Cricetulus griseus: one gene and its partner. The protein of the gene in region 1 interacts with the protein of each later gene in a biochemical or structural test. Links are inferred from orthologs where the notes say so. Each region holds a gene or a part of one and is shown on either strand. Other genes may lie near its edges.

Region 1 (4,314 bases):
GACATCCTTAGGTTAGAAAGTACCTATACTTAGTGCTTATAACCTGCTTCCTGCCCCACTGGCCCCACTGCCAGCCTCAGCCTAGAGGAAGTGAATACATGTTTACACTTTAGTCCTCATAGATTCTGTCTCCCTCTTTACAACCTGTTAGAAGAAGGGCGAGTAAGTAATTCACCTATTCTTACATATTTACACAAGTAGACTAAGCAATTGCTTCATTCTGGGCTCTCATCCTGGCTTCTCAAAGAAAGCTAAAAATAAGTAGAATCCCTGATAATCTTGGTCCGAGGTTTCTACCAGCTGGGCTTGTTAGGATCACTGTTTCAGTTAAACTGACAGGTCGGACCAGCTACTTAGTGAAGTTCGTGTAAATTCCATTTGTATGGCTTGTTTCGTAAATATCAGAAGTATCATTCTCTTAGGTGTACCTGTATCTAGAGGTCAGCAGATTTAACGGTAGTGAAAAGTAGAGGCCAAGGAACACTTGCTGCTGCTATGCATGGTGAGCCATAAAAGGCTGGCAGTGGGGTGTGTGAGTGTGCCAGCCTGCCGACTTCCAGGTGAGTATGTCCAAGGGAACAGCCTCCAGCCACACCCAGCATCACATGGAGATAGCCAGCATGTGATGGGAGGGGACAGGAGAGTCCTTTCCCATTTCTTCTTTAGAAATGAAAACATGTTTAGAGAGAGATTCGTAGTTGCAGAGACAGTCTGGCAAAATGTAAATGTCTCCTCACTTAGGTGTTATGAATAGATGTTATTTATATTGAAATGGTTTAATACAGGAAACCAAGAACTTTAACTTACACATGTACTTTGACACAGAAAATGTTACAAAACTGTTTCCCCTCAGGCCTGTTCTTTTACATACCTACATACATTAAATGCCAGTTATTGAATTAATTCTCTTGTAATGTCTGGATGTCTCATGTATCTCCTGCAAGATCCTTAGGGTAGTTCAGGATGTAAAATCTCCTATGCAGCTGTCTGGGGTTACCCGCAAATGTTCCTGACCACAGAAATATCTGCCATTATGTTGACATGCTCACTCAGCATAGTATGTTTGCATAAACACAGTAAAGCCACATATCTCTTTTAGTCTAAGCTCACAGTATTGTCCAGATACATAATTAACAATCAAATAATTGTATAATTTTTTTATTTTTTGTGGGATATTGTGTCCATGCCTTATGACAGTATTGCTGGGCTGTGGGGAGAGAATATATTAAATATCTTTTGTTCATTTTCAAGAACTAAGAAGACCTATGGGAAAGCATTTAATGACTTCTTTGGGTAGAGGTTTGTAGCCACGTTAACAAGTCAGACTCCGGTGGATTGAAACTGCTGTTGCATGAAATTGCTTTTATATTATTTATCATTGTGTTCTTTTCTTGAATTTTCTTCTTTCAGAGGAGAGTTCCAGTCACAAATGCACATGTGATGCATGGTAACATTTCCCGCTAAGGTGAAATGCAGAAATGAAAAGGACGCATCCATTTGAGTATTCTCACATACGATTACATGCATTATCGTGTTTTCCATGCTACTGACTTTTTTTTTAATGTTTAAAAATTGTTAAGCGTTAAACAGCTTAGGATTTGCAAACTCAGTGTTCCTGATTGAAGATCCCAAGTAGAGATTTTATTACAGCATAAATACCTCAGAGGAGCCCTCGACCTAGTTCCATACAGAGTTCTTTCATCAGCTGTGACCTGAAGTTTCAGCTCCTAGGATGGCAGACAAGCTTCCCACAGAGTTTGATGTAGTTATTATAGGGACAGGTTTGCCTGAGTCCATCCTGGCAGCTGCGTGTTCCAGAAGTGGACAGCGAGTTCTGCATGTTGACTCCAGAAGTTACTATGGAGGGAATTGGGCAAGTTTCAGCTTTACAGGCTTGCTGTCCTGGCTGAAGGACTATGAACAGAACCATGACAGCGAGGAAGACATGACTGCCTCGTGGCAAGACCTGATCCATGAAACGGAAGACGCCATCGCTCTTTGCAAGAAAGATGAGACTATTGAGAACACAGAAGTCTTCTGTTACGCCAGTCAAGATGATGGGGACAGCACTCAAGAGAACAATGCTCTGCAGAGAAGTCCTTCCCCAAAGGCATCTGCTACCCTGGCTGACTCTCTGGATTCTGCAGGTTTGCCCAAAGAAGGGTACACAGTATACTTTTCAAGCCACGAAGCACCTTCTAGACACACAGAGAGAAGTGATACGGAGCCGTCACCATCCTTAACTGATGCAGAGAACTCACTGGATCAAGAAAAGGATGGTGGCATCCAGACAGTTTCAGATGGAGATAAAGATGAAGACAAACCTGATATAGAAGACAACAGCAAACAACCAAAGAGAAACAGGATTACTTACCCTCAAATGATTAAGGAGAGCCGGAGATTTAATATTGACTTGGTATCGAAGCTGCTGTATTCTCAAGGATCATTGATTGATCTTCTCATCAAATCAAACGTTAGTCGTTACGCAGAATTTAAGAATGTCACTAGGATCCTTGCGTTTCGGGACGGGAAGGTAGAGCAGGTGCCTTGCTGCAGAGCAGATGTCTTTAGTAGTAAAGCGCTCACCGTGGTTGAGAAGAGAATGCTAATGAAATTCCTCACATTCTGTTTAGACTATGAACAGCATTCTGATGAATACCAAGACTTCAAACAATGCCCATTTTCTGAGTACCTAAAAACTAAAAAGTTAACGCCCAACCTCCAACATTTCATACTACACTCAATTGCAATGACATCAGAACCATCCTGCACTACGTTAGATGGTCTTAAAGCAACAAAAACCTTTCTTCAGTGTCTTGGACGGTTTGGCAACACTCCCTTTATATTTCCTTTATATGGCCAAGGAGAAATCCCCCAGTGTTTCTGCAGGATGTGTGCAGTGTTTGGTGGAATCTATTGTCTTCGCCATAAAGTCCAATGCCTTGTAGTTGATAAAGACTCTGGAAGATGTAAAGGGGTCATTGACCACTTTGGTCAGAGAATAAGTGCCAACTACTTTATTGTGGAGGACAGTTACCTTTCTAAGGAAACCTGTTCAAATGTGCAATATAAGCAGATCTCGAGGGCTGTGCTTATCACAGATCAGTCCATCCTAAAGACAGATTCAGACCATCAAATTTCCATTCTGGTAGTGCCTCCACTAGAGCCTGGAAGCAGCTCAATTCGGGTCATGGAGTTATGCTCATCAACCATGACGTGCATGAAGGACAGCTATCTGGTCCACCTGACCTGTGTTTCTTCAAAAACAGCCCGAGAAGACTTGGAACCAGTAGTTAAGCAGTTATTCATTCCTTTTGCAGAAGCAGAAACAGATGAGGAAGAACTCAGAAAACCAAGACTCTTGTGGGCCCTTTATTTTAATATGAGAGATTCCTCAGGAGTGAGCCGAAGCTCATACCATGGTTTACCTTCCAATGTGTACATCTGCTCTGGGCCTGACTGTGGACTGGGGAATGAGCATGCCGTTAAGCAAGCGGAAACACTGTTCCAGGAGATCTTTCCCAGTGAAGAGTTCTGCCCTCCTCCACCAAATCCAGAAGACATTATCTTTGAAGGTGAGGGTTAGCAAGCAGACATCCTGGAGTCAGTAACACACTTACCATCCAGCTAGACACCCCAAGGACACAGCAAGGACTTGTAAAGCACAGAACACCTTCGAAATTAAAACTGACTGGAAGTATTTTCATCCTGGTCTCACAATATTGTCACTGAAAGACAGCTGCCATTTGTGATAAGCGCTGTTCACATGTCTTCAACACCAAGACACTGGGTACCCTAATAGCTCTGCTAATCTGTCAGCATCTGGTTTGTGGTGACTCACCTTTTTCAGAATTGGCTACAGGAATCCAGAATCTCTGAATGTCATTAGCTTTATTTTACTTTTGGGTTTCACATTAGCGACATTGCTTAACTTAAGGTAGCATCGTCTTCTGTGTTCTGTGTTCAGGTTTTATCATTATCTACACAAAAATTAATATCCACAGAGTGCTACTACTGTTGCTACCACCTCGGGTGCACAGAGGAACACATAATCATAAACGGAGTGAGTTTTTTGTATATTATGTAAACACACAGGGCTGGTAGTAGGAGTAGCAGCTAATACAAGTATGGTAAAAAAGCAAGTGTTAGAAGCTTGGCCATGCATGAGCCTGTGGCTTGGGGCTGCTATTTACATGTGATTTCACCTGCTTTAACCTTTGTCACTGAGGAGGCAGTGAGACTACGCTAGCCTGCTACTTTACAAAAAAAAGTGCCCCTTAGTCGTTTGAAGAACCTCTTATTTACGAGATGTAT
Region 2 (4,183 bases), on another chromosome or scaffold:
TCAGTCTAGTTTTAGCCAGAAAGAAAGGAACAAAGCCAGCGTTGGTTCTGTCAATACCGTGCTCATTGAGGTGAAGTACTTTCACTTGGTGAAGTACACCTCCTTTTCCCACTAGGGCATGGCAGAACAACCTGATTTGGGATGAATGGCTGCAGCCAGGAAGGAGTACGCTGTGGACTCTGGATTCTTATTTTTGCCAACTGCCTAGCATAAAAGAATTTAGAATTTGGTGTCAGTACCACCAGCCAAATTGTAGGCAATGTCTTTGCTTCTGGATTTTAACATATTTGATACTTGCAGTGCAGTTTAATAATGTAAGCATTGAATTAGGATCTGTTGTGTCTGATCCTAATAATCTACAGTTTCCTCTTGTACTTCCCAAGTCTGTTGTAATGAAATTGTTTTGCCTTTCCTGATTCTTTTCTAATAGTGGGACACAGCAGGCCAGGAAAGATTTCGAACAATCACCTCCAGTTACTACAGAGGAGCCCATGGCATCATAGTTGTGTATGATGTGACAGATCAGGTGAGTTCCTAGAGACTATTGTATGTGTGTAGATTTTCGACACACTGTGTAGTTCTGATTGACCTGGAAATTATTATGTAGACAGAATGTCCTTGAATACTTTTGATCTGAAAGTTATTTTTACCATTTGAGAAATTAAAAAAAAAAATAAAAATTAGCACTCATTTTTCTTGTAGCAAATGTTAAATCAACTCTTTGTGACTTATGGGCAATTTGGAAATAACTGAAGACATTTAGGAGCAAAAGATGGGTGAATGTGGGCAGGAAAAGAAAATGCTACATTAACATGATGTCGTGTGCCTGGGTTCTTGCTACTTGGGAGGCTGAGATAGGCTCTCAGAAGACTGAGACCAGTCTAGGCAGCACAACACAGCAGATCACATCTCAAAAAGGCCAACACCCAGAGCAGACAGAACATGTTACTTTTTTAAAATTTTATTTTTATTTTATATACATTGGTGTTTTGCCATGGGTGTTGGGTCCCCTGGAACTGGAATTACAGACAGCTGTGAGCTGCCATGTGGGTGCTGGGAATTGAACCCCGGTCCTCTAGAAGAGCAGTCAGTGCTCTTAACCACTGAGCCATCTCTTCAGCCCAGAACATGTTACTTTTAAACGTCCAGTCTATCACCATTATTTTGTTGTGTTTTGAGACAGAGTTTCTCTGAGTAGTCCTGGCAGTCCTAGAACTCTGTAGAACTCAGAGATCTGCCTGCCTCTGCCCTCTAAGCACTGGGATCAAAAGCATGTGCAATCACTCCCAGTCTACCATAAAATATTTTTGAGAAAAGAAAAAGGAAAAGGTCTCACCAAAAGTTTTTTTTTTTTTTTTTTTTTTTTTTAAACTAGTTTTCTCCTCCCCATCCACTCACTATCTTGTAGTGGCATTTAAGCTCAGAGATTTCTGCATGCCAGGAAGTAGTCAGTCCCTGAACTGTACCCTCGGGCCAAACAGTTATCTTTTTGATAGTAGTAACACTGCTGTTATTCATGACCAGTTTTTGTTGTTAATTTTTGTTTGGTTTATTTTGAGACAGGATCTCCCTTAAGGTAGTCCTGGCTGACGTGCAACTAACTGATTTTGTAGAATGGGCAGGCCTAGAACTCAGAGATCCACCTGCCTCTGCCTCCCTAGTTCTGGGATAAAAGCTGTGTCACTACTCAGTTTAAAAACCAGAATTCTACTAAATTTCAGAAACTAGGTTTTGTTAATATCTAAATTTCAACTTAAAATTGGGTTTGCCTGGGGGCTGGAGAGATGGCTCAGCGGTTAAGAGCACTGACTGTTCTTCCAGAGGTCCTGAGTTCAATTCCCAGCAACCACATGGTGGCTCACAGCCACCTTGAATGAGATCTGCATGCAGGCAGAAGACTGTATACATAATAAATAAAATCTTTAAAGAAAAAATTGGTTTGCCTGTCATTAAATATTAAACTGTTTCCCTTCCCAAATAAGCTATTTTCACTTCAAGCCTGCCAGTCCTCCTTATCATTCATTAGATGAACATTGTCATTGTAATATATTAGTTCATTTCTTTTCTTGCATTATAGTTATAGCTAGAGTTGCCACAAAATGAGCTGTTATCAGTTGATCATTGGTTGCATCCAAAACTGTATCATCATTCTTGTCTTTAGGAGTCCTTCAATAATGTTAAACAGTGGCTGCAAGAGATAGATCGCTATGCCAGTGAAAATGTCAACAAGTTGTTGGTAGGGAACAAATGTGACCTGACCACAAAGAAAGTAGTAGATTACACAACAGCGAAGGTATGTATGAGGTCTGATTTTCTAATTACTTAATTAATTTTGGGACAGGGTTTCTCTGTATAACAGCCCTGGCTGTCCTGGAACTCACTCTGTAGACCAGGCTGTTTTCGAACTCACAGAGATCCTTCTGCCTCTGCCTCCCAAGTGCTGGGATTAAGGGCATGTGCCACCACCACCTGTCGAGGTTTGATTTTCAAGTTGAATTTTAATTATGGGGACGGGAGTCATACAGTGGCTAAACTTTTAAAAGCCAGTGAATTTAGTCCTTCATTCCCATTTCAGAAAGCATTAACAGCAAGTTAGAAAGGTTTTCCAGTGTTGATTGTTCCTTATTACTCTCTCAGGAATTTGCAGATTCCCTTGGAATTCCATTTTTGGAAACCAGTGCTAAGAATGCAACGAATGTAGAACAGTCTTTCATGACGATGGCAGCCGAGATTAAAAAGCGAATGGGCCCTGGAGCAACAGCTGGTGGTGCAGAGAAGTCCAATGTTAAAATCCAGAGCACTCCAGTCAAGCAGTCAGGTGGAGGTTGCTGCTAAAATTTGCCTCCGTCCTTTTCTCACAGCAATGAATTCGCAATCTGAACCCAAGTGAAAAAACAAAATTGCCTGAATTGTACTGTATGTAGCTGCACTACAACAGATTCTTACCGTTTCCACAAGGTCAGAGATTGTAAATGGTCAATACTGACTTTTTTTTTTATTCCCTTGACTCAAAGACAGCTAACTTCATTTTCAGAACTGTTTTAAACCTTTGTGTGCTGGTTTATAAAATAATGTGTGTAATCCTTGTTGCTTTCCTGATACCAGATTGTTTCCCGTGGTTGGTTAGAATATATTTTGTTTTGATGTTTATATTGGCATGTTTAGATGTTGGGTTTAGTCTTCTGAAGATGAAGTTCAGCCATTTTGTATCAAACAGCACAACCAGTGTCTGTCAATTTCCATGCATAAAGTTTAGTGAGACGTTATATGTAAGATCTGATTTGCTAGTTCTTCCTTGTAGAGTTATAAATGGAAAGATTACACTATCTGATTAATAGTTTCTTCATACTCTGCATATAATTTGTGGCTGCAGAATATTGTAATTTGTTGCACACTATGTAACAAAACTGAAGATATGTTTAATAAATATTGTACTTATTGGAAGTAATATCAAACTGTATGGTGATAAGTATTGTTTTAATTCTTATGGTTAAAGGGAAATAGGGATTTGCATTATACTCAACAGCCAATTTGTGTGTGCAACAAGGGCACTGTAGACCTATCTAATAATAGCACAGCATCCAGTATTTGCTTTCTAGTAATAGACCTGCTAAGTGACCTAGAGAAGCTTCTGTGCTGTGTAGACTGAACCAAATTCATTGGTTCAAGGAGCTCAGAGTGTATGGAAAACAAGTTTAGAATGTGTGCTTTCTAGTGCTTCATCTCCAGCTCTAAAACCGTTGTCTGAAGTGGCTTCACTCAAACTTTCTTCATGCATCTGTGGTAGAGATGGAGAGCAGCACATGCTTTACTCCCAGGCAGTGATCTAGTAACATGTGCTGGTGCTTCCTCCATGCTCTGGCAGATGCCACACACCCACCCCACCCCACCTCACCTACCCCAGTTTTTGGGATTTTTATTTTTTGCTTTTAGAGACAGGGTTTCTCTGTGTAGTTCTGGCTGTCCTGGAACTTGCTCCGTGGACCAGACTGGCCTCGAACTCAGGGATCCACCTGTCTCTGCCTCCAAGTGCTAGGATTAAAGGCATGCACCACCATGCCTGCTTTATCTTTTTTCTTTTCTTTTTTGAGATAGAGTCTCACTATGTAACCCTGGCTGGCCTGCAACTTAGTATGTGCAGCAGGCTGGCCCCTAACAGAGATCCACCTGCCTTTTCCTCCCA

What was found.
Region 2: the proteins of Chml (region 1) and Rab1a form a complex in vitro, tested with the Homo sapiens proteins (2 studies listed by BioGRID). The link is inferred for Cricetulus griseus from reciprocal best matches to the Homo sapiens genes CHML and RAB1A.

Annotation. Positions count from the first base shown.
Region 1 is NC_048598.1:18,011,545-18,015,858, forward strand, and holds the start of Chml (rab proteins geranylgeranyltransferase component A 2), read left to right. Parts: upstream 1-1,483; 5' UTR 1,484-1,732; coding exon 1,733-3,586; 3' UTR 3,587-4,314. UniProt on the Homo sapiens protein: Substrate-binding subunit (component A) of the Rab geranylgeranyltransferase (GGTase) complex. Binds unprenylated Rab proteins and presents the substrate peptide to the catalytic component B.
Region 2 is NW_023276807.1:86,262,413-86,266,595, reverse strand, and holds the end of Rab1a (ras-related protein Rab-1A), read left to right. Parts: intron 1-430; coding exon 431-526; intron 527-2,161; coding exon 2,162-2,293; intron 2,294-2,637; coding exon 2,638-2,835; 3' UTR 2,836-3,455; downstream 3,456-4,183. UniProt on the Homo sapiens protein: The small GTPases Rab are key regulators of intracellular membrane trafficking, from the formation of transport vesicles to their fusion with membranes.